7 linked regions of the Macaca mulatta genome follow. The protein of the gene in region 6 binds, or shares a complex with, the protein of the main gene of each other region. Links are inferred from orthologs where the notes say so. Each region holds a gene or a part of one and is shown on either strand. Other genes may lie near its edges. The genes, in order: PI4KB, CRTC1, ITGA4, MAP3K5, CDC25C, YWHAZ and PRKCE.

Region 1 (4,121 bases), on a different chromosome or scaffold from region 6:
GGTGTTCAGCATTCTCATGGAGTGTGGACCCAACTCTAAGAAGAAAGCAGATACGAGAGCAAATACGATTTCTGGTTGGAGATGCTTCCAAGGAGGAAAGCTTCTTCTCCTTTTTTCTTTTTTTTTTTCCCCCTGAGACAGAGTTTCACTCAGTCACCCAGGCTGGAGTACACTGGCATGATCTCGGCTCACTGCAACCTCCGCCTCCTGGATTCAAGTAATTATCCTGCCTCAGCCTCCTGAGTAGCTGGGATTACAGAAGCCCACCACCATGCCTGGCTAATTTTTTGTATTTTTAGTAGAGACGGGGTTTCACCATGTTGGCCAGGCTGGTCTCGAACTCCTGACCTCGGGTGAGCTGCCTGCCTCAGCCTCCCAACATGCTGGGACTATAGGCGTGAGCCACTGCGCCCGGCAGGAAAGCTTCTTCTAATAAGGGGAATTATGAGGAGATTGTACCATGGCTAACAACAAGGAAGAGAAAGGAAGTGGGATAAGATGACATAACTACTCCCAAACAGGCCTAGAATTAGAAACTGAATGGAATTTTATGTGCCCTTTCACTATCACAGGCTGAGAGAGACATGGCAGCAACTAGTTGCCTAAGTCTCAGTTCACTCCAAGTTCTCTTTTCCAGCCAGTTTCCTTGAAGTGCTTTCCCACAAACATACTTTCCACCTATAGAATCTGGAGTTATGGATCAAGTACATGAGGAACAGCACAGAAAATCAGCCACTTAATGCACTGGGCGAAAAAGCAAAGCAGATGAAAGAAGCAGTCCTGGAGCTTGTCTTTCAAAATGACTTACACCCCTGGTTGTGGACTAGAAACATCCGACAGAAAGATCAAGGTGAAGGAAAATTCTCTGGATGACTAAATCATCACTAATAAATACCTTTTGCCTGGGGAACCCAAAATGTTTTGTAAACAAAGAAACCAAATCTGATTTTTTTCCCCCAACCCACGTCCTGCTACCAACTTATTACTGCACTGATGCCTATAGAGAGTGGGCCATTTTCCAAAAGGATCGCTTTAGAGGTCAAGTGAGGAAGTCACATGCTGAACCCAGGAGTCCTGATTGTGAATGTATAAGCTCTTTCCATTGTCTCATGTTCCTTTTTCCAGTTACACCCTTACCCCACTCCAGGCCTGAGTTCTTATGGAACCCCAACCAAAACTATTCTAGTAAACCACAAGAGTAAACTGATTCCTCATGGATCTGGACAGGGGTGGGAAGGCACTCTATTCTGTGATTCCTTTAACAAAAGCCTAAAATTAAATAATCTGAAACAAGATTTCTCACAATCTCATTCAATTTCCATGCAGGCCTGTTCATCCCTCCTAGTGGCTGCTCCGGAGTAGTCAACCAAGTGTAATCTGATAGGGACTTCTTCAAAACTTGCTCCGGCCTTCAGAAACACCCTTCTGTCCTGAACGGCCTGAGGCAGCTGAGGCTCCCCCTGTTCACAACACATTTTTCTTCTTAGTTCAAGGTTTAGTTGATCCTGAAATAAGTGGTATGTGGAGATAAAGAGTGTGACAGAGAACGCAAGAAGACCACGGGAAAAACAGAACCAAATGTCACAAGGATCAGCAAAATCCTTGAAACTCGAGGGAGGTGTCAAAGGTGGAAATCCTGAATGGGAAGGGCACTGTCAAACCTCTCCCCTACAGACAGAAACCTCTAGAAGGTTGGGTGATTGAGGAGGCAGAAAGAGAAGCTACAGAAAGTTAAGGGTAGGGATCATAATGCATCCAGAGAAGAGTGAGGACTAGGTTCAAAGTAAGAATGTAAATGGCACTTTGGGATTGATGACAAGGGCCCGAGATCCCTTGAGGAGAAGGGAACAGGCAATTCTTGGAAGCCAGGAGCTGGCTGGGTGGGTGGGTGACGGTGAGGTAATGGAATCAGAAGCAGCACAGGAAGACAAGGATACAATCGCTGTCTCAGGGAAATGGGAACCCAGCGCCGGAGTTGCACAGGGACATCGGAAGAAAAGGGCAAACCAGGAAAAGAGGTAAAGGTGGAGTCCATGGAATAGGTTTGGGGCAGGGGCAGAGACGACGAGGAAGGACAAGGATGGGCCTATGGGAGTCGTCTGATGTGGAAAGGGTTCATGACTTAAAAAAAGAATAATTCGAGATGTAGGCAACAGGGATAAGAGTAAGGGAGGGGGGAATCCCCGAGGCAGAGGGAGGAGCTAATAGAAGAGGAAGCCAAAAAGCGGAGGAGGACCCCAGGCCTGAGAGGAAAGGGTGGAGAAGGAACCCGGGGTGCAGTTGACACCAGGAGGGCAGTTTCGTAGTCGAACTCAGGTGGAGAAGACTGTGCGGGACAGGGTGGGAGAGCGACCACCCCCCCAACAGGGCAAAGGTGACTCATGGAGGAGGAGTAGCTTACCTCTGGGGGACCCCCGCGGAGGGGGTGCGGGCAGTCGCGGTCGGACTGCCGACACCGCCGCCTCAGCAGCAGCGACCGCTCCCGGGTTCCATTGGTCGCCTGCGCTTCCCTGACAGCGGCCGCGGCGGCTGCACCAGGCCCCGGCTGCGGGGCTGCCCGCGGCGCCGCCTGAAGGGGCCTTCAGGCTGCCACAAGTCGACCGGGCCACACAACCTCCTCTTCCTCCCTCAGTACAACCAAGACAAAAATAATAATAATAATAAAATAAAATAAAATTCCCCAGCAGGTCTCGATGTAGTATTCTTTTCCTAAATCCAAGCCAAGCCCTTCTTCCCAGGATAAGCTTTCCTGCTTCTCCAACGCTCAGGACCCTACCGATCCCATAGTAATCTAAGGAGTCGGGTGAGCTGCCCGGAACATGCCTGTTCAGAAATAGAAAAGGGGGCGGGGAAAAGATGTTTGGAAGCTCGCGAGGGAGAGAGGGCGAAGGGAGGAGCTTACGGGTGGGAGGAGGGCACAATCTTTATGAAGCGGGTCTAAGCGATAGCGTTTGCGAGGCTAAAGAAGCCGAGAGAGAAGTAAAATTTGCTGCATAAGTAGGGTGAGCTGCCGGGCGTGGGTGCCCTGTTAGAGAAGTATGGACATATGCATACTTCCAGAAGTATATTAACATGCAAATTATATGTAAATGACCGTTTGAGTAACCAACCAAATTACCGTAATCAATGACTTTTCCCCATCCCCTACGCTACAATACTCCCTTAGTAAATCAGGCCGTGGGATGGACGCTGGGTTTCAAGAAGGGCGAGCAGGAAGACGGCGGACGGGGAAGACGTTCTCCCTCACTGCCCTTTTCCTACTCATCTTTGAGGACGATGCGGAGGTTAAACCCCTTAACGTTTCGGGAATGGCGCGGTCCGACCGCGTCAGTCTTTCGCCGTTAGAGAGGCCCGACTCGAGGCCGTGGTTCTGCCTCCGAGGTCACCACCAGCCTGGGCAGCCTGTGACCTCCAGCATCCATACGCCGAGCCCTCCTGGGAGGGGCTGGACAGGGCCAGGTTGGGAGAGGTGAGTGAAATGGCAAAGGCTTGGAGGGCACAATCCCTTCTTCCAAACAAAACGAAGCCATATTAGGCGAAACAAATAAACAAAAACACGCCATGCAAATGGGCCTCTGGTGTTGCTTTTGTGTAATTTTCGTTTGTTTGTTTTGTAAAGACAGGGTCTTGCTCTGTTGCCCACGCTGGTCTCTAACTGCTAGCCTCAAGCAATCTGCGGGCCTCAGGTACCAAAGTGCTGGGATTATAGGCCTGAGTCACCTCACCCAGCCAGCTTTGTGTATTTTTCGGTTAACATTGTTGATTTAGAGCCCTCTTTGTCCTCAGAACCTCTGTCTCAACGTCTTTCCTAGGCTTTACTTAATATTCAATGCCCCTCGTTAGGGCCTTACATAATACATTGAGGCTAGTTACTTGAGGCCGGGGCTTGAATGCCATCTTCCCTGCCACTTACAAGCTGTTTGATTTGGAATAACTAATGTAACCTCTTTGAACCTCAGTTTCTATGTCTACAAAGAAGACATATGGATGAAGTAATATTAGCCCATTACAGGGTTTTGTGAGGATCAAGAGAGTACAAGTTGCTACTATAATACTTTATTATTAATTATTGGGACAATCATACAGGATAGATGATGAAAGAGTCACTACTTACAATGTTT
Region 2 (4,051 bases), on a different chromosome or scaffold from region 6:
TCAGAATTTTTCCAAATTCATTGATCAATGAATGGATAAACAAATACAACATATCCATACAATGGAATATTACTTGACCGTAAAAAGGAACAAAGCACTGATCCATGATACTACAGAGATGAACCTTGAAAACATGATGCTGAGTGAAAGATGCCAGTCACAAAAGGCCACGTGTTGTGTGATTCCGTTTATATAAAATGCCCAGAATAGGCAAACCCACAGAGACAGAAGACAGCTTAGTGCTTGCCAGGTGCTGGGGGAGGGGGAATGGGGAGTGACTGTTAATGGGGATGGGGTTTCTTTCTGGGTGGATAAAAAAATGTTCTGGAATTACAAAATAGCGGTGGTTGCACAACTCTGTGAATATACTAAAAACCACCAAACTGTACACTTTAAACAAGTAAATTGTATGATGCGTGAATCATATCTCAATAAAGCTATTATTTTAAAGAGATGTTTTCAACAACAATGATCTATTTCCAATCCCACGCAGAAACTGGACTTCTAATCAGAATGACACCCATGAACCTACTGTGACCCCTTTCTTCTGGTCACACTGCAAACATTTGACACCAACTGAATACCAGCACACACCATGTGCTAGAGATAAGAAGTGGCCACTCCTACCTCAGAAGCCCTGATATGTGGGGAACACTCATGTGGAAGGATGCTCAAGTCGCACACTTTCTTCTTATTTATTTATTTATTTATTTATTTATTTATTTTGACATGGAGTTTCACTCTTGTCACCCAAGCTGGAGTGCAGTGGCGTGATTTCAGCTCACAGAAACCTCCACCTCCCAGGTTCAAGTGATTCTCCTGCCTCAACCTCCTGAGTAGCTGGGATTACAGGTGCCTACCACCACGCCCGGCTAATTTTTATATTTTTAGTAGACATGGGGTTTCACCACGTTGGCCAGGCTGGTCTCGAACTCCTGACCTCAGGTGATCTGCCGCCTCAGCCTTCCAAAGTGCTGGGATTACAGGCGTGAACCACTGCGCCTGGCCATCTTTTTTTTTTTTCATTCATTCATTCATTCACCAGCCATCTCTTTCTCTACATCCTGAGCAAGAATGTAGCTGCTTGGAGCTGGAGGGACAGATGTGGCACGCTCACCTAGCATGCCTAAAGCAGTACCTGGCTGACAGCAAGCTCCCAATCATTACTAACACGGAAATGAAGACACAAATCCTATAAGGTCTATAAGGTCACAATCTCTCAGAGAAACAAACAACTAGTTACAAAGTAACACAACCTGAAAGTGCTACCTAAGGAATGGGAGACTGAGGTTAAGTCCACCTGAGCCAGTCACATCAGTGGCCGAATCCAGAAACCAGGGATATGAGCATCTGCAAAGCCCCCACCCAAACCCTCCTCAAGGCCCCAGGATGCAGGAGAGAGGTCTCACCACACTGCAAGAACAAAGTGGAGATTCAGCATCACCTTTGCAAAGTGTGCTCACCGCCCTGGCCCAGGAGGAAGGTCTTGCTAGAATGCCTGACAAGGGAAGAAACTGAGGCCTGAGGAACTCAGGTGCCTTGCCGTGCTCAGACACCAGCCCCAATCAAGCCCCTACTCCCGGCCCACAACAACTTCCCAGGTGAGATTTGCAGGGTATCTGCTCTGCCAGCCTGGCAGAACCTGGCCTTTTCCTGCACACCAAATGCACCCAGCCACCTGAGGCAGACCTGGCCCTCTGCCCTGGTCCTGAGAGGGCAGGGGCCATCCGTGGTCGGCGTCCCCTGTTCCACTAGGAGGAACATCACCTGGTCCCCACCATATGGGCTACATGGAGAAGGGGCAGCTGTCTCTACTCCAAGTTCCAGGACCGAGCACAATCTGCTTTCTTGGCCCCCCTCTGGATCCCCTGGGGGACAGGATCTGACCATTCCCTCAGCTGTCCAAGAGGGAGAGACCCCTGTCCCACCTCAGCTCTGCAAGTGGGGACATTTGTTCCTCCTCCAACACCCAGGGAGTAAAGGCACAGGTAACAATGACGTAGAGACACCGGTCCCCCTCAGGTAGCAAGGATGGAAGGGCATCTGTCCCTCCCAGGTAGCAAGGATGCGGGGGCACTTGCACCCTCACCCCCAGCTACCAATGGTGCTTGCAAGCAGCACCCAGCTCATACACCTGTGTCATCTTGCCCCCCAGGTAGCAATGATGCGGGGGCACCTGTCCCTTCCAGGTAGTAATAATGTGGGGCACCTGTCCCCCTCGGGTAACAATGATGTAGGGACACCTGTCCCCTGTCAGGTAACGACAAGGTACTGGCACCTGTTCCCTCCTAGTAGTAATGATGTAGAGGCCCCTATCTCCTCCGGGGAGCAGTGATGTGGGGGCACCTGTACCCCATCAGGTATGGATGATGTGGGGTCACCTGTCCCGCCCACGACGCCCGGGGCGTGGGGACACCTGTCCCCCTCGGGCCGTGCCAAGCCCCGCCCCCGTCGCGCGCGCCCCGCCCCCGCCGCGCCCCCCCCCCCCGCCCCGTGCACGCGCCGGACACGCGCCCCCTCCCTCCCTCCGCCGGCCCTGAAGGGTCGGCGCGGGCAGCCCCCTTACCCGCGCGGCCCGCGTCAGGCTCAGGTCCTTCATGACCTCCTCGAAGGCCGCCGTCTCCTCCGCCTGCTTCTGATTGTGCAGCGCGATCTTCTCGCTGAATTTCCGCGGATTGTTCGAAGTCGCCATCTTCTCGCCGCCGCCTCCTCCTCCTCCTCCTCCTCCTCCACCTCCTCGCCCCCCCACTCGCCCGTGCCACCGCGCAAGCGCCGGCTGGGCCCACGGGCGGCGAGCTGTGCGCAGGCGCGCCGGCGGTCGTGAGCGCGGCGCAGGCGCACGGGAGCGGCGCGCGGCGCGGGGGCGAAGGCGCATGCGCGCGCCCCGGCGGCGCGCTCGGGGCCCGCGGGAAGTACAGTGGGGCGCGAGTGGAAATTTCAGCGCCGGCGCAGTGATCCGCCGCCTGGCCCGCTGGACAGCGGCCGCCTGGCTGTTGGACAAGGACGGCGAACCGGCTGGGGCACTGGAGCCCCCAAAAGGGAGACGGCCTGACCCAGATCCTCCCAATTCACAAGGGTGGGGCCAGGCACCCCCCCAAGGATTGGTAGCACCCCAAGGTTGAACCTGGGTTTGGACTAAGAGCTCTGAAAACAGACTAGGGCGTTGGTCACTCATGCATTCATTCATTCAAGGAATATTTACTGAGCACCTACTATGTGCCAGGCAAACTGGGGTACAGGCGTGAACAAGCAGAGGTGATCCTGCCCTTATGGAGTGTACAGTCAGAGAGGGGGCAGACATAGCACACAAATAACCAAGAACTTTTCAGATGGAGATAAATGTGATGCGGTAAATAACACCAGTGGCCAGCCACAGAACATTCGGGAGGGGGGCTCCTGCAGCCACCACAGACAGGGAGGCAGGAAGTTATCTTAGCTAAGACCTGAACCCTGCAATCGGCCCCCTCAGTCCATAAACCTAGCGGTTGTCCTTAACGACTTTCTTTTTTTTTTTTTTCTCGAGACCGAGTTTTGCCCTTGTCGCCCAGACTGGAGTGCAGGGGCTCGATCTCGGCTCACTGCAACCTCCTCCTCCCAGGTTCAAGCCATTCTCCTGCCTCAGCCTCTCCAGTAGCTAGGATTACGGGCATGCGCCACCACGCCCAGCGAATTTTTGTATTTTTAGTAGAGACTAACGACCATGTTGGCCAGGCTAGTCTTTAACTCCTGATCTTAGGTGATCCACCCGCCTCGCCCTCCCTAAGTGCTGGGATTACAGGAGTGAGCCACCACGCCCAGCCAACGACGGTCTTTTCCCATTCCCTTGCAATGGGCATGTTGCTGTTCTCTGGATACCTGAGCCCAAAGAACGGGAGTTACAGAGCTTCAGCCTTCCCTCTGCGTACTTCTCCAGTCCAGTCTTATTCAAGGATCTCTATTTTGCAAAAAGGTGCTAACAGAAGGGTCCATAAATCCCGTCAAGACTCAGCAGTGAAAGAATGAGCAGAGACTCCCTGATGGCAGAGTGGTGAGCCAGGGGAGCAGGAGGGAC
Region 3 (3,510 bases), on a different chromosome or scaffold from region 6:
TGTCTTAAATACTAAAATAAATGCAAACCAATCCTTTATTCAAGTAATAATGCGAAAATGGATAACTGTTTTCAGTCACACTGTAAGCTATGAATTCACCATGCATTTATTGAGTTATGCTTTGAATATTATATATTTCATTACAGCTATAGATTTACAGTGCAACTTTTACATTCGATTTAAATAACAGAACCATATTCTACCATCTCCATTGAATAATTATTTTAAGATACATTTTTGTGTGATATGGACCTACAGAAGTAACTTGATTGGTAGACTTCTTCATAGCACTTGAAACTACTGTGCAAATATGAGGATTATAGCCTTTTTTGAAGGAAGCACTATTCAAACCACTTCTTAAGAACCAATATTCTTTCATTGATGGTTCCATCAGAATTGTTTTGAGCTTGCCAGGTTGAAGACAGAAGTCAACAAATCTAAATACGTTTGAGGTCTGATTTTAAAATCCTACTTAAATTCCGGATTCAGAGAGAAGAATATGGTGTTATATTGTTTCCCCTATAAAGGAAAAGAAATATTTAATATCATGCTAATGTTCCAATATCAATTTTTACATTTCTGCAAGGTTTAAGGCCACGTTATCAGCTTAGAACCTATATCCAACCTTCTATAATTCAGCTGGGTTTTTGTGTTTCTGCCACACATATTTAGTCACTCCCAAATATGTCAAAAAAAAAAAAATTCTACAATTTCAAAGGTACTTAATATATTTTAGCAAAGATAAGCTACTGGAACTTTTAAAACCATGTTGCTTTTTGCTGTTTTTTCCAATGATGAAAGATAAGATTTCTCTTCCTTTCTATCTTCATAGACTACTACTGGAGAATGCCACTTTGAAAATTATCAAAGAGTATGTGCATTAGAGCAGCAAAAGAGTGCAATGCACACCTTGAAAGGCATGTTCCAGTTCTTGTCCAAGACTGATAAGAGGCTATTGGTAAGTTTCCATTTTTCAGGTTGTAGTTGCTGCTTTCCAACAGAGAAGTGAAACACTTAAAATCAAGTCAATGGGTTTGAGCTGTCACTTCAATAAAAGAGAAGCCAAGTTTAGGTAGTATTCTTGCATGGAAGGAACAAGCACGGTTGGAGAGTTGAGAAAGACCTAGGGTCTATCCCATATATAAATATGTTAGCTGGGCATGGTGGCTCATGCCTGTAAGCACTTTGGGAGGCCAAGGTGAGCAGATCACAAGGTCAGGAGTTTGAGACCAGCCTGGACAACAGAGTGAAACCCCGTCTCTACTAAAAATACAAAAATCAGCCAGGTGTGGTGGCAGGTGCCTGTAATCCCAGCTACGTGGGAGGCTGAGGCAGGAGAATTGCTTGAATCCGGGAGGTGGAGGTTGCAGTGAGCCAAGATCATGCCACTGCACTCCAGCCTGGGTGACAGAGCAAGACTCCATGTCAAAAAGAAAAAAAAAGTTATACAGTTTCATTTTTTTATCTAACAAATGCCCACTATTTGCCAACAAAACATTGTTCCAAACCCTTCAGGACACCAAGATGTTGTCTTCACCTGGGCAGCCTTTGTGGCATGGGTTAATTTTCATTCTTTTCAGCTTAGTGAATGTATGAAAAGAAACTGGAGAAGCAGTCATCACCTTGAAATGATCCACGTTTTACAACAAACATAGAATATGTAACTTAGCAAGACTCTGATTAGAACATTTTTTTAAAAAATTCTGTCCCAGAAGATTGTTAATACAAATAGGAACATATGCTCTATTTTAAATACTTTATTATAATTTAGAAAATAAGCATTCATGTCTTGTTTAAAGATAATTTAAATGCCACTGAGGAAAGCAGATGTTAAATTTCATATTTATAGAAAGATGATTTTCAAAATGCCATTAGAGTATATATTAAATTATATATAAAATATTTTTAAAATATTTTCCAGTGTTGAAAATTTTAATGTATCACTTTTATATTCCTTTCAAGTACTGCATAAAAGCTGATCCACATTGTTTAAATTTCCTATGTAATTTCGGGAAAATGGAAAGTGGAAAAGAAGCCAGTGTTCATATCCAGTTGGAAGGCCGACCATCCATTTTAGAAATGGTAAGTCTAGGCCAGGCGCGGTGGCTCAAGCCTGTAATCCCAGCACTTTGGGAGGCCGAGACGGGCGGATCACGAGGTCAGGAGATCGAGACCATCCTGGCTAACATGGTGAAACCCCGTCTCTACTAAAAATACAAGAAAATTAGCCGGGCGGGGTGGCGGGCGCCTGTAGTCCCAGCTACTCGGGAGGCTGAGGCAGGAGAATGGCGTGAACCCGGGAGGCGGAGCTTGCAGTGAGCCGAGATCACGCCACTGCACTCCAGCCTGGGGCACAGAGCAAGACTCCGTCTCAAAAAAAAAAAAAAAAAAAAAAAAGAAAAAAAAAAAAGAAATGGTAAGTCTAAAACATATTGACAACTTGGTGGCTAAGTTTACATACAATCTATAAATTCAGTCATATAGGCAGGATAGTATGAAGACATTCAACAAATAAAATTTTGGAGTAAAACTCGAAAACTATATTTCTGTCACTTCAACTAAGTGAAATGGCTTTAGAAATTAACAGGTAATAAAGGCTAAAATAGGCCAGGCATAGTGGCTCAATCCTGTAATTCCAGCACTTTGGGAGGCCAAGGCAGGAGGATCACTGGAGGCTACGAGTTCAAGACCAGTTGTATTCCTAGGTAGATGTGTGGTGTTATTTCTGGGGTCTCTGTTCTGTTCCATTGGTCTGTATATCTGTTTTGGTTAGCCTTGTAGTATAGTTTGAAGTCAGGTAGCATGATGCCTCCAGCTTTCTTTTTGCTTAGAATTGTCTTGGCTATATGGGTTCTTTTATGGTTCCGTATGAAATTTAAAGTAGTTTTTTCTAATTCCGTAAAGAAAGTCAGTGGTAGCTTGATGAGAGTAGCCTTGAATCTATAAATTACTTTGGGCAGTATGGCCATTTTCATGATATTGATTCTTCCTATCCATGAGCATAGAATATTTTTTCCATTGGTTTGTGTCCTATTTCCTTCAGCAGTGGTTTGTAGTGCTCCTTGAAGAGGTCCTTCACATCCCTTGAAAGTTGGATTCCTAGGTATTTTATTCTCTTTGTAGCAAATGGGAATTCACTCATGATTTGGCTGTCTGCTTGTCTATTGTTGGCATATAGAAATGCTTGTGATTTTTGCACATTGATTTTTGTATCCTGAGACTTTGCCAAAGTTGCTTTTCAGCTTAAGTAGTTTTTGGGCTGAGACCATGGAGTTTTCTAGATATACAATCATATCACCTGCAAACAATTTGACTTCCTCTCTTTCTATTTGAATACCCTTTGTGCTTTTTTTTTTCCTTTTCTGAGATGGAGTCTCGCTCTGTCCCCCTGGCTGGAGTGCAGTGGCGCGATCTCGGCTCACTGCAAGCTCCGCCTCCCGGGTTCCTGCCATTCTCCTGCCTCAGCTTCCCAAGTAGCTGGGACTACAGGTGCCCGCCACCGTGCCCAGC
Region 4 (4,267 bases), on a different chromosome or scaffold from region 6:
TTCTAGAGCCCTAGAAAAAAACGCCCAATCAGTGCAATAAAAATAGGCTCAAGTGTTCAGTTGGGTATTTTCCTCTCATATCTTTTAGTTCTTTGAAGCTTCTTCCAAATTATAATCCAAAAATAAGAGCGCTATAATTTTTAGAAAAGTTACGTTGATGTAACTTTTATAGCAAGCTACCCAAAGAATCAAGCTATAATACATTATAGCCATGCTCAGTTATGAAGACCAAAACTATTTTAAAAATACCAGAACCAGAAAGTCCTAGTTTATTTAGTCTGGCTTCCTTAACATGAAGTTCTTGTTGTTCTTAAAATACTCAGCTTTGGCTGAATTCCAAAACTGACATACGCCTACTTCAGGTGTTTGGAAGATACTGAAGAGAATCAGAATTGAAAACAAGATTGGAAAATAAAGCCTTTTATGTGATCACAAATGCAAGAAGTGTACTGTTTTGAAACCATTAAACCAAGTTTTTACCCACAAATGTAAACTTAAATATGTATATATTCTCAACACTGGACGTACAGGAGGCTAAAGGTTAATTTCGATAGCATGGTATTATTCCTAACATTTGCAAACAGCTAATTGCTTCAGTTACTAGAACTGCCTTAACGTTTTCTGAAATCTGAGATAGGTTGAAAAGATACATTTCTTTCATGGATTATGCTAGCAATCACTTTAATGGCCAAACTAATCTTATTACTAGGATAGCATATAGGTGTTTTAGACAATGTTAAATTATAAACTTTCTAGCCCATCATGGTTTATGGGGTAACAAAAAACAGGCCCTGGTTCTTTCACCAAAATCCTTACAAAGATAACACACAAGTTCAGTGTAAGTTGTGATGTTATTGCCTTTGGAAGCACTGTAATTACTTCAAAGTCTGGGTTGGTGAGAGGAAATTCAAGCTACTAAAACTTATTGAGGGTAAGGTGTGTTGCGAAGCTCATGATACGGCGTGCAAATTACTATAGTTACACTCTGCGTGCATGGTATGTCATCGTTCCTGTACTCTCAAAACTACACGGAGAAAAGGAGAACCTCATCTAAAACGGTCACAGGTATATACAGAAGGAAAACAGGGACCAAACCTCACAGAAGCGAAACCGAGACACTGAACGGAGAAGGACTGACTGGGGCTAATATCTCTCACTGCTAGAGAACAGTTCAAGTCGATCGCAGGGACCCAGGGCTCCAGCGTTGGGCGGTGGGTGGATCCATGGGTCTCTCGCACAAATACAGACTCTTTCACAAACACACACGCTCTCCCCGGAGCAGCAAGCGACAAGAGCAGTCACGCAGCAGCGCTCGCTGCCCCCAAAGTGGGGCAAGAAGTAAATGCTTCCCGCCCAGAAAAATGAAATGCCCCGAAGATGGCCAGATTAAACGTGGGTCCCGACCGCGCGGGATGGCAAAGGGGTCACACACGCACCTGCATTGTAAAAGCGGTCCAGGACGGTGGTTTCACCAAAGTCGAGTTTCCCAAAATGCAGGGTTTCCAGGGTGGCGCCCACCGTCTCGCACGCCTCCCGCAAGCTCTGCAGGGCCTCGCTCTCGGCCACCACCAGTTGCCCCTGGCTCGCTTCGTTGATCACATATGCCACCGTGGTCCGTCGGCTGCCCCCGCCAACAGAGCTGCCCCGGCCTCGGGTGGCACTGCTCGCGGAGGTGGCCGCGGGACACCCGATGCCTGGGGCGGCGGCGCTCTCCACGTTCCAGAAGCTGCCCGGCGGCGGCGGTGGCAGCTGGTGCTCCTCGCTCTCGCCCACCGCCGCCGCTCCTCCCCTCCTGCAGATGCCGCCCTCGGGAATGGTGCAGAAGCCCGAGGGGGCGAAGGGTGGCACGGAGAAAGTGATGCCCTCGCCCGCCTCCGTGCTCATCTCTCCGGGCCGGGCAGCAACGGCGGCGGCGTCCCCCGCCCAGCCGCACCGCCTGGCCAGCCACAGCTCGGGGCTGCTCCGCGCCCGCCGGGCTAAGCAACTGCCATCGCGCGCCGCGCCCTCGCCGCCTCGCCGCCGCCTCCTCTCCGGCGCCCTCTCCCCCGAGGGCACGCCGCTGCCCGGCGGCGGCTCGCTCCTCCTCGGCGCCTCCGTGGCCGCGCCGCTCGCCCTCTGCAGGGTTTAGAGTACAAGGGGTGGGGAAGTCGGGTGAGCGGGAAGGGACGGAGCTTCCTTTTCTTGGCCGGCTGACAAGTCGGCTTACAAACCTGCGCTGCGGTGCAGCTCAAGGGCGCCGCGCTCGGGGTGCAGCCCGCGCTTGCCACCAGCAGCGCCGCACAGCGCAGCTCCTTCCGTCCCGGCCGCTCTGGGAGGAGCCAGGAAGGGCGCCCCCTGGGTGCTGAGCTACCTGGCGCGCACCTTACGAGCGGGCGGGCTCCCCGGGCGACGTCCCGGAACAGCAGCAGCGGCAGCCGAAAGCACCCTCCTCCCTCCTTGGCGGCAGCTCCCCTTCATGGGCTGGATTTCCTCCTACTCGCCCGACCTCGTTTCTCTTCCGATCGCCTCCGTCGCGTCGTCCCCGCGCCAGCCTCGTCGCTCCTAGCAGTCGCTCTCACTCTCCGCCACCAGCTTCTGGCCACCCACTCGTCGCGGCACCCGGGATCAGGGCCCGCCCCCAGGTAGGGCGCTGCTAGGAAGCTCGAGCCCGGACGAAACCGACCGCGCTGCGGCCCTCGGACCCCAGCCCTTCTCTGAGTGCCGCCCGTGGCATGGGGTCCCGGTCCTCACCCACCCGGCCCCCAACTAAGAAGACCTGGAGCGCAAGCGATTATAGGGTGGCGCAAAAAGTCTCTCCAACCAATACTCGGTCCTCGGAGTCCGCCCCTGAAGCATTTCCAGTGTTCCCCGCAACGAGGGCGCCCCCCTCCGGGCCTTGGCGGCCTCGTGGACTGGGACCGTGCGAGGCGCTGGCAGGACAGGCTCCGGGAGACCGACGTTGCGCGAGGCAGGAGGTTGCACATAGCGCCCTGGACCCAGGGCCTACACCGGAGGGTGCTTCATTAGTGACTGTGGCACTCCAGAAGTGGCAGGCCAAATTTATCAGGTTCTCCCATGTACCTTTCCTTTTAAAATTTCCAGTGGCTCATTCCGTTATGAGTAATGAGTAATTGATTAGTGCCAACTGCCGAAGGACTTAGCATTCTCATTTAGGATCTTAATTCCCCCACAAGCGCCAGATACTTACTTAAGATAGAAAATGGAGTCTATACCCGACTCCACAAATTATCAGCAAGATGAAACAGGAGAATTACGTGACCTATTCTATTTTTTAAACTGCATCACTCGAGGAGGGGAGGGAAATACCCAGATTGTTTAAGAGCAATCAAAAAAGTACCTGCTTATTTGGGGAGCAAAGAACAGATGTGTAAGTTCCCAGAGAACCCCAGAATGCTGTAATTGTTAGGAAAGCCAGTGCAAGTTACAACTGAGTAAAGAAATAGGTTTTGTATTTCCCGTCTCCAGGAACTGAGACTGGTGAGTCCTATGAAAAGGGCAGAAGAAAATGTAAATTACTTTTTTCTTTTCTTTTTTTTTTTTTTTTTTCTTTGAGACGGAGTTTCGCTGTTCTTGCCGGAACGGTAGTGCAATGGCGCGATTTCAACTCCCTGCAACCTCTGCCTCCCGGGTTCAAGCGATTCTCCTGCCTCAGTCTTTCTAGTAGCTGGGATTACAGGCATGCGCCAACCACGCCCGGCTAATTTTGTATTTTCAGTAGAGACAGGGCGAGGCAGGGAGGCTTCACCATGTTGGCCAGGCTGGTCTCGAACTCCTGACCTCAGGTGATACGCCCGCGTTGGCCTCCCAAAGTGCTGGGATTACAAGTGTGACCCACCATGTCCAGCTATGAATTACATTTCAAACCGGGTAATAAGGAAGGATAAAATAATTGAATACTAAAGAATTAAAGGAAAGGCTGGGCGCAGTGGCTCATGCCTGTAATCCCAACACTTTGGGAGGCCGAGGCAGGCAGATCACTTGAGGTCAGGAGTTCAAGACCAGCCTGGCCAACATGGTGAAACTGCCTTCTCTACTAAAAATACAAAAATTAGCTGGGCGTGGTGGCAGCCGCCTGTAATCCTAGCTACTCGGGAGGCTGAGACAGGAGAATCATTTGAACCCGGGAGGCAGAGGTTGCAGTGAGCCAAGATGGCAGCACTGCACTCTAGACTGGGCGGCAGAGCGAGACTCCATCTCAATTAAAAAAAGAGAGAGAGAATAAAAGGATTAAAGGAAAGAGTTTTTAAATTTTCTCCAAGGTGGGAGG
Region 5 (2,381 bases), on a different chromosome or scaffold from region 6:
CCCGGCCGAACATCTGTATTTCAAACAAGTTCAGATGATGTTGATGATCTAGGGTCCAAACTTTGAGAATTACTGGTTTTTTGTTTTGTTTTTGTTTTCTGAGACAGAGTCTCTCTCTGTTGCCCAGGTTGGAGTGCAGTGGCACGATCTCATTGCAACCTTCACCTCCTGAGTTCAAGCGATTCTCCTGTGTCAGTTTCCTGAGTAGCTGGGACTACAGGAGCATGCCACCATGCTGGCTAATTTTTGTATTTTTAGTAGAGATGGGGGTCTCACCATGTTGGCAAGGTTGGCCTCGAACTCCTGACCTCAAGTGATCCACCCACTACGGTCTCCCAAAGTGCCAGGATTACAGATGTAAGCCACGGCCTAAGAATTGCTGGTTTAGAGAAAAGCATGTTGGCCTCAGCTGAGAATAAAGATAATATGTCTGAAGTAGTCTAACTTGGTGATCTCCTCTGTAGACAGATCTTCTAGGAGCAGGCTAGGCTCACAATCACACGTCTCATTCTGTAGTGTTTATTTTTCCATTTTTAAAATAGAGGGGGAAACAAAGAAGGAAAATACAAAGAAAGAGGGTAGACAACTCTCTTGCACAGCCAGAAGCCCAGAGAGAAAGAGTTGGCTGGCCTGTGAGAAGACACGAGGAGTTGGGAAGAGGAATGCCAGAGTTCCCTGAACCAACAAAAATCTCTCTGCAACTCAAGTCTGCCACTCTTATAGAGCCACTCCAGGACTCTGCCACCAGCTTTCAGCTCTGCTGAAACCGAAGCCATTCCCAGGCCTGTACACAAGTTGGCAGCCTGGTGGTTTGCAGAGACATCTTTTAATAATCTTGGGTTTGGCCATCCAGAAGGCCTCTTTCTGCTCAGGGTTTCTGCAGTGTCTTTTGGTGACTCGTTAGCAGCCAGTGGTTGGAATGTTGTCACGGGCTCACATCCTTCACCAGAAGGGCAATCTGCTCCCGCAGCTGCCGCTCCCCTTCCTGCACTTTGCTCTGGCTTCGACACCTCAGCAACTCAGCCTTGTGGTCCTGATGATGCATAGGGCAGTAGCTCTGTGGTTCACACAGCTCCTGAAAGGTAAGGAACAGAGTAAGGGATTCTCTAGACTCCTGAACTCTACCTACGAAGGATAATAGAGATGCTGCTGCTGGCAGTGGCCACGGAGGAGCAGCAGTTTCTTCTCTGAGGGCTTTGCAGGCCCTGGGAGTTGCATGCTAAAATTGGCTCCCCGCATGCCCCACCCTTTACCAAATATTCTGGAAAGAAGTCTCTGTAGCCGCCTTTAAGGATATATAGCTCTGGGTAGTACAATGCAGGATACTGGTTCAGAGACCTGTCCTCTTCACGCAGAGAGCGGCACCTTTAGAGAGAACCCAGAGATGGGTGGGGTGGAAAGAAACAAGGTCAGGATCCCAGGGGCTATTCACTGGGCAGGGAGGAGAGGAATAGACTATTGCCAACCTCAACAAGGACCTTCCAATCTCACTGTGTTTGCAAAAAAAAAGGTCCAAGTAGCACCACCCTTCCTCCTTTCCTCCACTGCGGTCTCATTCTCAAGTCCCTTTTCCTTTATTGTTTCATACTTTTCAATTTTAGAAACGTCTTCCTTCAACCTCCCTAACATTCTTCAAACCGTAGAATCCAGTCAGTCTCTGTCTGAACTGGTGTGGGAAGTCCAACTCAAAATCCATTTCCATCACCCGCCAGACCCCATTTAGACACTCACATTCGGGGGCCCCTCTCTGAGGAGAATTCACAGTGGAACACGATGATTATTCTCTTCTGGGTGTCCAAAGGGACAATGGGCTTCTTTAGAAAGAAGCTAAACAGTTCTTCCTGACTATACAAGTTTAAGGCTCCCTGTAGAAAAAGAATTTTAGTATTTCCTCAGGGGCTTATAGACAGTGCCAATACTTAGAAATGACTGAGACACCAACCTGGGATAATTTGGACCAGAAAAGCTGGACTATCAGCACCTTTAGGGCAGGGGTCTAAGTATATCTCTGTATATACCCTGAACGCCTGGCATAGAGCTTGGTATGTAGTAGATGGTCAATAAATGTTCATAGAACTGAACTACTGGAAGTATAGGGATCACTGCGAGGAATGTTCATGAATATTAAGTGTTTGCAAAGTGCTTTAGTCCTTGGATTCATGTTTTTATTTCTAGGTAGGACCCCTTGGCTCCTACAGAAAAGAGGGAGATAGATCTAGGAAGGAAAGGGGAAAGTAAGCTGCTTAAGGTATACAGAATTAAAACAATGAGGACCTCAGCCTTGATGTGCTTCAAATATGTAATCTTTGTCCTAATTCTAGAGTTCATAGGTCCCTTTGTCCACAGACTCTTCTCAATAAAGAGCTATCTCCAGTACTCCC
Region 6 (4,244 bases):
CTTGTCAGTTTAACTCATGTCTTTTTACTTTCATAATACTTTCGTCAGGAGTGATTAAATTTTAGTTTTAGTGTTACCCCCACCCCAAACCTACTAGATCTCTGCAACATTTGCCAGCCAATAATAGCATAACAATTTGGGGGGAGGAATGACCAAACTGTTTGTTTTCAGATATTTTGAGTATAAATCCACCACAAAGGATCAATATCTGACCCTAATGCCTCAACTCCTTATCTTGTTATATGTCCACATGCTTTAAAAATATCCACAAGTCATGGCACTTCAACTCTTACTGTGAGTACTAGAATATATCACGTTGGAAGTACTTGATTTACAAGTGTTTCCAATGTCATTGCTCCAGTTGAAATGCAGAAGTGCTGCATTTTGCGTCTAGCTGTCATACTGTAATTGGATGTTATCACTCAAGCTGTTCTTCACCATGACTATCCACCTAATTCTCTTTCCCTCGCGTTTTAGTTTCCTAGACCTTTTCTATTTACCTCAGCTACATTTTTCTGGAAAGATATCCTTTGGCAAGTTGGCAAACAGCACAAAGATACTAATCCACACAGCGATACCACACCAAAAAAAAAACGACTTGAGAGAAAAATACACACCCTGAATGAAGTGCACTTTTAAATTATGTGAACGGAAGAGTTCACCTTGGAAGCTGACTCTCGAATATTAATCATCTTTTGCCTTCCCAGGGAAATCTCACAGTATTTTTTTAACTAAATGAGAACAGGTCCCCACATTTTAAACAAATTACTTAGCCACTTTGGATACAAGGTACTGGCTCAATACGTAAACTATTTAACCTTTATGTCGGCATTATTTTCCTCAGGTGTCTAAATTACTAATTTTTCCCTTAGGATCTCAGAAACAGTCTCTGGTTAATTCTGCTTCTAATGAAAAATGATTTAAACCAGTACAAAGGATTCTCTACCCAATCACTTCGGTACAAGAGGAAGTGGATAAGGTTTCTCACACAGTAATGAGTGCTCCAAGGCCTCGCCTCTACACTGCGGGCAGGACTCACCGCACCCATTTAACCCTTACCTGACTTGAGACGTCGACTACGGCGAAACGAAAACCGGCAGACCCGGACTTTAAAGTGAAAATCCTCCGGTCCACTTATCCGCAACCACCCCCCTCCAGGCTCCGCCCAAGTCGGAGCCTCCGCTCAAGTCCCCGACTCTCCTTTGTCATGGCGGATCTGTGTCAGGGAGCCCAACCTACTGCAGAGTGTTAATTCCCCCCTCCTCCGACCGAAGCCAGAGGGAGGAGCAGCCCGCGCCCCCGCCCAAGCCGTGGCGCGGCGGGTGGGGGGGAGCGAAGCCGCCCGACCCCGGGGCAGAGACGCCACAGCCGCCCGCAGAAGCGGAACCACTACCAGCCCCGCCACGGACACACCCCGCTCTCCCACCCAGCGCCTTCCCCGCCACCGATCAGCGCCGATGCCCGTGTACAGCGTCTCTAAGGGACCGACAGCTGCAGGTGGGGGAGGGGACGAGAGCCACACCCAGCAGAGCGGGCCACCAGCGGCTATGCTCAGGGTCACCCGCCCCCAAAGCAGGATATGCGTCCCCAAACCGAGCGCAGGGAACCTCCAGTTCTAGTCCATCACGCACGGAAGCCGACGCGGGCTCCCCACCCCGCTCTCTACCCCCACCTGGACTCGCAGCCCCCGTCCGCACCTCCTCCGCCCGTTCGAAAGGAGCAAAAAAAGTCAGACCCATCCCCCACCCCCACCAGGAAATTTCAAGTCCTTCCTCCCACCGCGGAGCCCACGAAATTCAGCTCTAGGTCCCAGGAGAGCCCCACCCCAAAACCTCACCCCGCAGTGTGCTCCCCCTCGCGCCGGCGCGCGGCCTCGCCCCGGTCTACCTGGCGGGCGCCGCCGTGCCAGGCCTGGGCTCCGGCCCGCTCTCGGCCAGGCCTTTCCCTCGCTCCTGGATCCCCGAGGCCCCCGGCCCCTCCCCGCCGCGCCGCCGCCTCCCGGGGTGGGGGAGGGCCGGGTCCCGCCGCCGCAGCGCCCAGCGCAGAGGCTGCGCGAGGGGGAGGGGGGCGGGGGAGGGGAAGGAGGGGGCGGCCGAGGGAGAGAAGAGGGGGCGGCCTCACCTGCGCCACTGCGATGCCCGCCGCCGCCGCCGAGTCATTATCTCGGGCGGAAGCGAGAAGGGCGACGAGGGAGGGGGTGGGAGCCCGCAGAGACAAGGGTGGGGACGGATCGCGGCCGGCGGCGCCCCGGCCATGCCTCGTCCACCTTTGGGAGCCGGCGACAGGGGGATCCCCGGGGATCTCGCGTGTGGGCGCCCTCCCCACCCCCGGGAGCAGGACGGGGGAGCGAGCACCGATCGGCGCCGGGGCGTCGATGCGGAAGCAAGGAGTCGGAGGCGGCCGCTAGCCGCCCGCCCGAACTCAGCGGAAGAGGAGCCGCCGCCCGTGTCCGCTGAGGAGACTCCGCCTCAGCCCGGCGCCGCCACCGCGGGGCTAGTGGGGATGAGAGGACGGAGCGAGGACGGCTCCCACGCGTTCGGAAGGCTGGCCTGGGACAGGAAGGAGCGGGGCGCGGCGGCTGCCAGGTTCCTCACCTGTGTCCGGAGTGGGTGGTGGCGGCGGACGGACAGGGGCTCAGCAGTCTCTGGGCGGCGGCGGCAGCAGCAGCGGCGAGGCTGAGACTCTGTCCCTGGATCTCGCTGCTCACAGGCTACAGCCGCTCCGCAGACACGGGGTTTCCTCCAATCACCAGCCCCGGCAGCAGGGGCACCACACGCACGATGACGTCAAACGCTGCTATGGCAACCGTTGATTGGTGCCCACAGCGATCTGGGCCCCGCGCAACCGCCGCTCCCCGGCGCGCGTCTTGCCCGCCCGCGCTGGAGAGCGAGCGGAGGCGCGTGCGTCCTCGCCCGCAGCCGCCACTTCTCCCACCCCGCTCGGCTCCCAGCTCCTCTACTCTTGTCCCGAGTGCACCTAGGCAGGAAGCTTTTTTTTTCTTTTCCCGCAAACCCCCCCACTCCTCGCCTTCCCCTTGGGTCCCCGACGCCCTCTCTCTCCCTCTCCCCTGTGGCCTCCGCGGGTCCACTCTTCCTCTCAGCCTGTGGGAAGGCGCTCTCTCCCTACCCCCACCTTAGCTTTCGCTCAGGCCGTCTGCGCTTGCCCCAGTCACTCCCTCTGGAAGGGGCTCCCGTTCAGCAACATCCGGGACCTTTCACATCCCCCCACCTCTCCCCGAGGCCCGGCCCGCCCCGCCCCGCCCTCCGTGCTTCGCGGTAGTAACTGCCCCAGGGCCGTCCCCGGGCAGGATGACGAGGGTGGCTCGGCGGCTCCGGCATTGTGATCAGGACTTGCGGGGCGGGGGCCGGGCGCGGTCGCACGGCAAGGGAGGGTTGTGTGTGGTGCGCTCCCCCCGCCCCCCCCCGCCGCTCCCCTTGCCCGGAGGGGCGCGCGGCCCCTCCCGGCCTCCCTCCCGCCGCCGCGGCTTTACCTGCTGGCTTGGGGGAAGCGGCCCTAGACCTTTTATGGCTCGGAAACGGGAGTGAGGCGTCCAGCCCGAGTGTGGCTGAGTGATGGGGAGGCGTTCCAATCGAGAGCTCGGGATCTGCGCTCGGTGACTGCCCGAGGGGACAATGGGTGGGCGCCGAGGTGGGGACGAGATGGGCCGGGCCGGGCCGGGCGGAGCCGGCGGGAGGTGAGGCCTGGAAGGAGGCGCGTCCGCTTTAGGGAAGCCAGAGTTCCGAGGGGAAAGGACAACCTTCTCTGGCGGAGGGCTGGAGCTGGTCCTGGCAGCCTTGACCCGGAGACAGGCAGTCAGGCGTGACCGCACGGACCCGTTTCTCGTAGGCTAGGTTTTCCTACCCAAATAAAGCTTTCACGTGAAGACCTCATACTGCAGTGACTTAACACATGACGATCATTACCTTTTTGTCTCCTAGAAGCAAGGTTTGAGGGACGTCGTAGTCCCCAGGGTTCCAGCTGGCGGTGGGAGTGGACCACGGGCCGGGTGATGAGCGAGGACAGTAGCCCGGAAGAAGGGGAAGGAGAAGGGCGGAAATTGCAGGTGCCTGAACGGGTAGGGCCTCCGCCCAGTTGACTTAAGGAAGTTCAGAGAGAAACATTCACAGTGCGCTGCCCCTTCACTCTTTAAATGTGTTCGGGCTAAGAAAAGGTTAGTGCCTGGATGACCTGCAAAACCACTTGCAACAGTCATAGAGACTGTACGGTTAGCAATGAGAGCGCTT
Region 7 (4,002 bases), on a different chromosome or scaffold from region 6:
AGTGTTGACCGCAGGGTCCCCGAGAGATGCGCGGCCCGGCGGGGCCCATCCGTGGCCATCCACGGCCCCCGGCACGCGCACCCAGCCCAGCGCCGCCGCTCCCGCGGGTCCCGCGCGGGGTCCTCCCCAGGTTCCCCCGCCCGCCGCCGCGACCCCGGGCAGCCTCGCCCGCTCTCCACGGTTCTCTCTTCGGCTCACTTTTTCCGTATTGCTCCCCCAACCGGCAAAACTTTCTATTTCCCCAAACACTGCCGTGCGCGCGCGCGCGTGCACACACACTCACACACACACTCACACACACTGACGTCTTTTGCGCATTTCCTGCATTAGAGGGAGGGAGACTCGCTCGCACACCGACCGAGGGAGAGGAGACCGCGGGGGAGCGCGGGCTGGCGGGCGGCGAGCGAGCGGCAGCCGAGAGCTGGGACGCGGGGAGCGCGGCGGGCGGGCGCCGGCGCCCAGGAGGTGGGGCCGCGCTGAGTCGCAGTCCCGGCCCCGCCGCCGCGCTGCGCACCGCCGGGTGCTGGCCTGCGCCCCCGAGCCGGATCGGCGGCCGCCCGGACTCCGAGCCGGCGCGGATGTGAGATTCCGGGCTCCTGGCGCCTCCCGATCGCCGACTCCGGCGCGGCGCTGCTTCGCCCAGGAGGCGGCGGCCCCGGCTGGTCGTGGGGCTTGTGGATTTTTAAAAATTTGGCTCCGAGGGGGACCATTTCCTCTCGACATGCATCCCTCCGGATAAACTGAACATCCCTCCGTCCACCCCCCGCCCCGCGCGGCCAGAGGCAGGCGCTGAGTGTGCGAAGAGGATCCGGGTTGAAATCTGCGCCCCCGGTTCTCGTCCCCGCCCCGTCCCACCGCCCCATCCCCCTCCCGGAGTCGAAATTTCCCGGGATTATGTTTCGGAAAGGTAGGTAAACGCCGGGCGCGGCGCCCGCTTTCCCGCAGCCCGGAGTCGGAGAGCCAGCGAGGCGGCAAGGCAGCCCCTGCGGCTTGCAGCGGAGCCGACAGCTCGTCTTCTCTTCTGGAGGTGCAGCTGGTGGTCGCGGGGAGAGACTTGCTCCAAACACGGACATTCCCCAGCTCTCCCCCCTCCCTGTTTTCCGTTAGGAACCCGGCGAGGAAATACATGCACTGGCTGAGACTCGCCCGCGCCAGGGCGCAACGCCACAAGGTGTAGGGAGTGTGTGGGGTGGGGCGAAAGGGGACCCAGGAGTCCCTGTGGCTCGGAGCGGGCCGTCGGTTCTTCATTCCTGCCCTCGGGGCAGACGGAGTGACCCCGGCCCCCACTCCCCGCCCCGACCATGGTAGTGTTCAATGGCCTTCTTAAGATCAAAATCTGCGAGGCCGTGAGCTTGAAGCCCACAGCCTGGTCGCTGCGCCATGCGGTGGGACCCCGGCCGCAGACTTTCCTTCTCGACCCCTACATTGCTCTCAATGTGGACGACTCGCGCATTGGCCAAACGGCCACCAAGCAGAAGACCAACAGCCCGGCCTGGCACGACGAGTTCGTCACCGATGTGTGCAACGGGCGCAAGATCGAGCTGGCTGTCTTTCACGATGCCCCCATAGGCTACGACGACTTCGTGGCCAACTGCACCATCCAGTTTGAGGAGCTGCTGCAGAACGGGAGCCGCCACTTCGAGGACTGGGTGAGTTCGGCGCCTCCACGTCGGTCCGGGAACCCGGTTGTGGGGTCCCGGGGAAAGACTCGCTGGCCTTGATCGTAGGGGTCCGGGACTTATTGACGACTGGGGTGTGTGTGTGTGTCTGTAAATCTCAGTTTCCTTGAGGAGGTGCACTTCACTTCATAGCTGGGGAGAAACAGGCACTGGCGAGGAAGATGAGACTTGGAAAGAGGATGTGGCCCTCTGCCCCCTCTGTGCCCTCCAGATGGTGGGTGCTGCGGGAGGTTTGCAAACTGGGAGAGCCTGGGCCGCCGGTGCTGAAGGTTGGCCGAGGACCCGGCTTTCTTCCGCAGGCGCGTGGTGGGCTGGCTGTGTGTGATTGTGTGTGGGTGGGTCCCTCCGTCCTTGGAAAGGCACGTGGAGCCTTTGACTGAAGGCTTCTTGCACGTCCTGGCTTTGTCCTGCTTAGCCGAGCGAGGAGTTGCTTTATTTTTCCCTCCGAGAGGGAGCTGGCTTGTTTCTGTTCTCCTGCATGGTGGTTAGCTCATCTTCTGACATACGAGTAGAAAAAATGTGTTCTCCAGGATGTCTCCTCTACGGTCCCAGAAACATCAGTTGGGCTTGTTTTGTCCAATTCATTGCCCATCCATGCAGAATGAATGTTGCATTTTAAGAAGGGTTCTGCCTGTGGGTAATTGGAAGTCAGCGCTTTGAATCTTATTTAAAGTTATATTGTTTCTCTGTTTTGATTGTTAAGATACTGTGCAATAAAAGACGATTTCTAAGCCTGAGATTGAGTTGTTAATTGATTTCATTGTGAAACTATTAAGGATTTGGAAATAGGTCTTGTCTCAATCTACTATAAACCAAATGCATCCAACCTTGGCACTTGGACAAGCGAAGAGAAGGAAACCTTCGTTTTGCTTTTTGTATTTGTTTTTGGGTTTTTTTTTTTGGTTTTCTTTTGCTCTTCTTGGAAGGAAGGTATTAATTTAGGACATGGATTTTTGTGTTTTCAGGTTTGTTACATGTTTCCACCAAGAGCAAGTGCAAGCGTTCCTCTGGAGGTATATGCTTTCGGGGTTCTTTGGTCTACGGAAAAAGTGAGAGAGCTATCTAAGCCTCAAAAGTGGTGTAGAGCAATTGCTTTCTGTTGAAAACCAGATAACTTCATGAATGTCCTAGAGGTCAGAGGGTGCACATGAATCACCTTGGCATATCACCTTACACATTTTTTTCAAGGACACGGAGTTTTAGGGAAAAATAGGAGAGAGCCTGTTGTTTTTATGCTCATGGCTGTGATGTAGTCTGCCTGAAACCATGGTTACGGTTTCACAGGAAAGCTCCAACAAGCCACATGCGTAGAACTCTAGATTTGTGGTTTGCACTTTGGAAAGCAGGCAAACCTTTATGGAATCCTGAGAACTCCATGCCATTCTATTCTACTTCACAGATGTCCCTCATCTCTGCTTCCCTCAGCCCCCACAACAGAGCTCCCACTCATTCCCCATTTCCTTTCCATGCATGGCCTTTGGGCTCTTTCCTCATGGAGGCAGTGCATGTGAGAGGGGGAGTGGAAGGGCTAACTCATTTCAGAGGCAAACCTTGACACTGAAAACCTGTGATTTTGGAGTTGTTGTTTTTGGACAGGAAGGGGATGGAAAAAACTTGACGCTGGTAGCTAGGAGATGGGGGCCTTTTGCAGTGTATGCAGTTGAGGGGCTTTGACAGTGGGGCAGAAAACAGGGACAAGGAGCAGCAGGTCTGCATTTATCCATAGAACAGATGTTGGTTGGAGGGAGAGCGTCTTTGTATCTCTGGTGATGTTTTGCTGGGGCACACCACAAACTCTGGGAGCTTCAGGACACTGTCCCCACCTTCATCACTCCTAGTGAAGCATGCAGTGGGAACTTGTTTGGTGATCATCCTCTAAGGTTCTCAAATTCATGTTGGATTTGGCCCTAGACCAGATCATTTAGTGCACAGGCAAGTTTTACAGATGAGGACGTTGAGTTCCAGAAAAGTTAATTGGGGACCGAGGGTCACGTGACAAGCAAAGGTGGGTTGGAAGTAGGGCCCTCACCTCCTGTTGCCCATGGCTTGTCTGATGGGGAGCCGAGCCTGTCCATCTGGCCTCCCAGCCTGTTCTCCCTGCAGATCCATGAGCTGTGTCCCCGACATTTTTATTGTGCTTGATAACTTCATCTCTTTTGCCTTATAGCAAGTGTGAATTAGGTATGGCAGGTGTTGGACAAACTAAAAAACTTGAGATAGAGAAGCCCAAAGTCTCAAGGGTGAATCAAGTGGTGGAGCAGGTACAGAATGCCCATCTGTTTTCACCAGAGGATGTTGTGGCCACTCTGGTTCTTCCAGGCTG

Evidence for each region.
Region 1: the proteins of YWHAZ (region 6) and PI4KB are in contact, whole or in part, in a crystal structure (PDB 5NAS), measured with the Homo sapiens proteins. The link is inferred for Macaca mulatta from reciprocal best matches to the Homo sapiens genes YWHAZ and PI4KB. Residues at the interface, in NP_001129171.1 of Homo sapiens: Asn42, Ser45, Val46, Lys49, Arg56, Phe117, Lys120, Arg127, Tyr128, Gly169, Leu172, Asn173, Val176, Tyr179, Glu180, Leu216, Ile217, Leu220, Asn224, Leu227, Trp228; in NP_001317650.1 of Homo sapiens: Lys290, Arg291, Thr292, Ala293, Ser294, Asn295, Pro296, Lys297.
Region 2: the proteins of YWHAZ (region 6) and CRTC1 are in contact, whole or in part, in a crystal structure (PDB 7D8P), measured with the Homo sapiens proteins. The link is inferred for Macaca mulatta from reciprocal best matches to the Homo sapiens genes YWHAZ and CRTC1. Residues at the interface, in NP_001129171.1 of Homo sapiens: Asn42, Val46, Lys49, Arg56, Arg60, Lys120, Arg127, Tyr128, Glu131, Gly169, Leu172, Asn173, Val176, Tyr179, Glu180, Leu216, Ile217, Leu220, Asn224, Leu227, Trp228; in NP_056136.2 of Homo sapiens: Arg147, Arg148, Thr149, Asn150, Ser151, Asp152, Ser153, Ala154, Leu155, His156.
Region 3: the proteins of YWHAZ (region 6) and ITGA4 are in contact, whole or in part, in a crystal structure (PDB 4HKC), measured with the Homo sapiens proteins. The link is inferred for Macaca mulatta from reciprocal best matches to the Homo sapiens genes YWHAZ and ITGA4. Residues at the interface, in NP_001129171.1 of Homo sapiens: Lys49, Arg56, Lys120, Arg127, Tyr128, Glu131, Gly169, Leu172, Asn173, Val176, Tyr179, Glu180, Ile217, Leu220, Asn224, Leu227, Trp228; in NP_000876.3 of Homo sapiens: Arg1007, Gln1008, Tyr1009, Lys1010, Ser1011, Ile1012, Leu1013.
Region 4: the proteins of YWHAZ (region 6) and MAP3K5 are in contact, whole or in part, in a crystal structure (PDB 6EJL), measured with the Homo sapiens proteins. The link is inferred for Macaca mulatta from reciprocal best matches to the Homo sapiens genes YWHAZ and MAP3K5. Residues at the interface, in NP_001129171.1 of Homo sapiens: Val46, Lys49, Asn50, Arg56, Lys120, Arg127, Tyr128, Glu131, Gly169, Leu172, Asn173, Val176, Tyr179, Glu180, Ile217, Leu220, Asp223, Asn224, Leu227, Trp228; in NP_005914.1 of Homo sapiens: Ser964, Ile965, Ser966, Leu967, Pro968, Val969.
Region 5: the proteins of YWHAZ (region 6) and CDC25C are in contact, whole or in part, in a crystal structure (PDB 5M36), measured with the Homo sapiens proteins. The link is inferred for Macaca mulatta from reciprocal best matches to the Homo sapiens genes YWHAZ and CDC25C. Residues at the interface, in NP_001129171.1 of Homo sapiens: Lys11, Glu14, Gln15, Glu39, Val46, Lys49, Asn50, Arg56, Arg60, Val61, Ser64, Lys120, Arg127, Tyr128, Glu131, Gly169, Leu172, Asn173, Val176, Glu180, Asp213, Leu216, Ile217, Leu220, Asn224, Trp228; in NP_001274511.1 of Homo sapiens: Gly210, Tyr212, Arg213, Ser214, Pro215, Ser216, Met217, Pro218, Glu219, Asn220, Leu221, Asn222, Arg223, Arg225.
Region 7: the proteins of YWHAZ (region 6) and PRKCE are in contact, whole or in part, in a crystal structure (PDB 2WH0), measured with the Homo sapiens proteins. The link is inferred for Macaca mulatta from reciprocal best matches to the Homo sapiens genes YWHAZ and PRKCE. Residues at the interface, in NP_001129171.1 of Homo sapiens: Asn42, Ser45, Val46, Lys49, Arg56, Lys120, Arg127, Tyr128, Gly169, Leu172, Asn173, Val176, Glu180, Leu216, Leu220, Asp223, Asn224, Leu227, Trp228; in NP_005391.1 of Homo sapiens: Lys365, Ala366, Leu367, Ser368, Phe369, Asp370, Asn371, Arg372.

What each region holds. Positions count from the first base shown.
Region 1 is NC_133406.1:115,752,885-115,757,005, reverse strand, and holds the start of PI4KB (phosphatidylinositol 4-kinase beta), read right to left. Parts: upstream 2,806-4,121; 5' UTR 2,402-2,805; intron 1,506-2,401; 5' UTR 1,337-1,505; coding exon of another isoform or gene 1,312-1,336; coding exon 1,304-1,311; intron 36-1,303; exon of another isoform or gene 1-35. UniProt on the Homo sapiens protein: Phosphorylates phosphatidylinositol (PI) in the first committed step in the production of the second messenger inositol-1,4,5,-trisphosphate (PIP). May regulate Golgi disintegration/reorganization during mitosis, possibly via its phosphorylation.
Region 2 is NC_133424.1:19,237,842-19,241,892, reverse strand, and holds the start of CRTC1 (CREB-regulated transcription coactivator 1), read right to left. Parts: upstream 2,805-4,051; 5' UTR 2,693-2,804; coding exon 2,567-2,692; intron 1-2,566. UniProt on the Homo sapiens protein: Transcriptional coactivator for CREB1 which activates transcription through both consensus and variant cAMP response element (CRE) sites.
Region 3 is NC_133417.1:86,445,862-86,449,371, forward strand, and holds part of ITGA4 (integrin alpha-4), read left to right. Parts: intron 1-832; coding exon 833-958; intron 959-1,962; coding exon 1,963-2,082; intron 2,083-3,510. UniProt on the Homo sapiens protein: Integrins alpha-4/beta-1 (VLA-4) and alpha-4/beta-7 are receptors for fibronectin. They recognize one or more domains within the alternatively spliced CS-1 and CS-5 regions of fibronectin. They are also receptors for VCAM1.
Region 4 is NC_133409.1:41,902,935-41,907,201, forward strand, and holds the start of MAP3K5 (mitogen-activated protein kinase kinase kinase 5), read right to left. Parts: upstream 2,809-4,267; 5' UTR 2,458-2,808; coding exon 2,362-2,457; intron 2,116-2,361; coding exon 1,437-2,115; intron 1-1,436. UniProt on the Homo sapiens protein: Serine/threonine kinase which acts as an essential component of the MAP kinase signal transduction pathway. Plays an important role in the cascades of cellular responses evoked by changes in the environment.
Region 5 is NC_133411.1:147,148,089-147,150,469, forward strand, and holds the end of CDC25C (M-phase inducer phosphatase 3), read right to left. Parts: intron 1,866-2,381; coding exon 1,732-1,865; intron 1,366-1,731; coding exon 1,254-1,365; intron 1,076-1,253; coding exon 926-1,075; 3' UTR 504-925; downstream 1-503. UniProt on the Homo sapiens protein: Functions as a dosage-dependent inducer in mitotic control. Tyrosine protein phosphatase required for progression of the cell cycle. When phosphorylated, highly effective in activating G2 cells into prophase.
Region 6 is NC_133413.1:111,307,875-111,312,118, forward strand, and holds the start of YWHAZ (14-3-3 protein zeta/delta), read right to left. Parts: upstream 2,805-4,244; 5' UTR 2,595-2,804; intron 2,424-2,594; exon of another isoform or gene 2,122-2,423; intron 2,003-2,121; exon of another isoform or gene 1,838-2,002; intron 1,221-1,837; exon of another isoform or gene 1,060-1,220; intron 1,017-1,059; exon of another isoform or gene 991-1,016; intron 1-990.
Region 7 is NC_133418.1:79,191,508-79,195,509, reverse strand, and holds the start of PRKCE (protein kinase C epsilon type), read left to right. Parts: upstream 1-1,195; 5' UTR 1,196-1,301; coding exon 1,302-1,649; intron 1,650-4,002.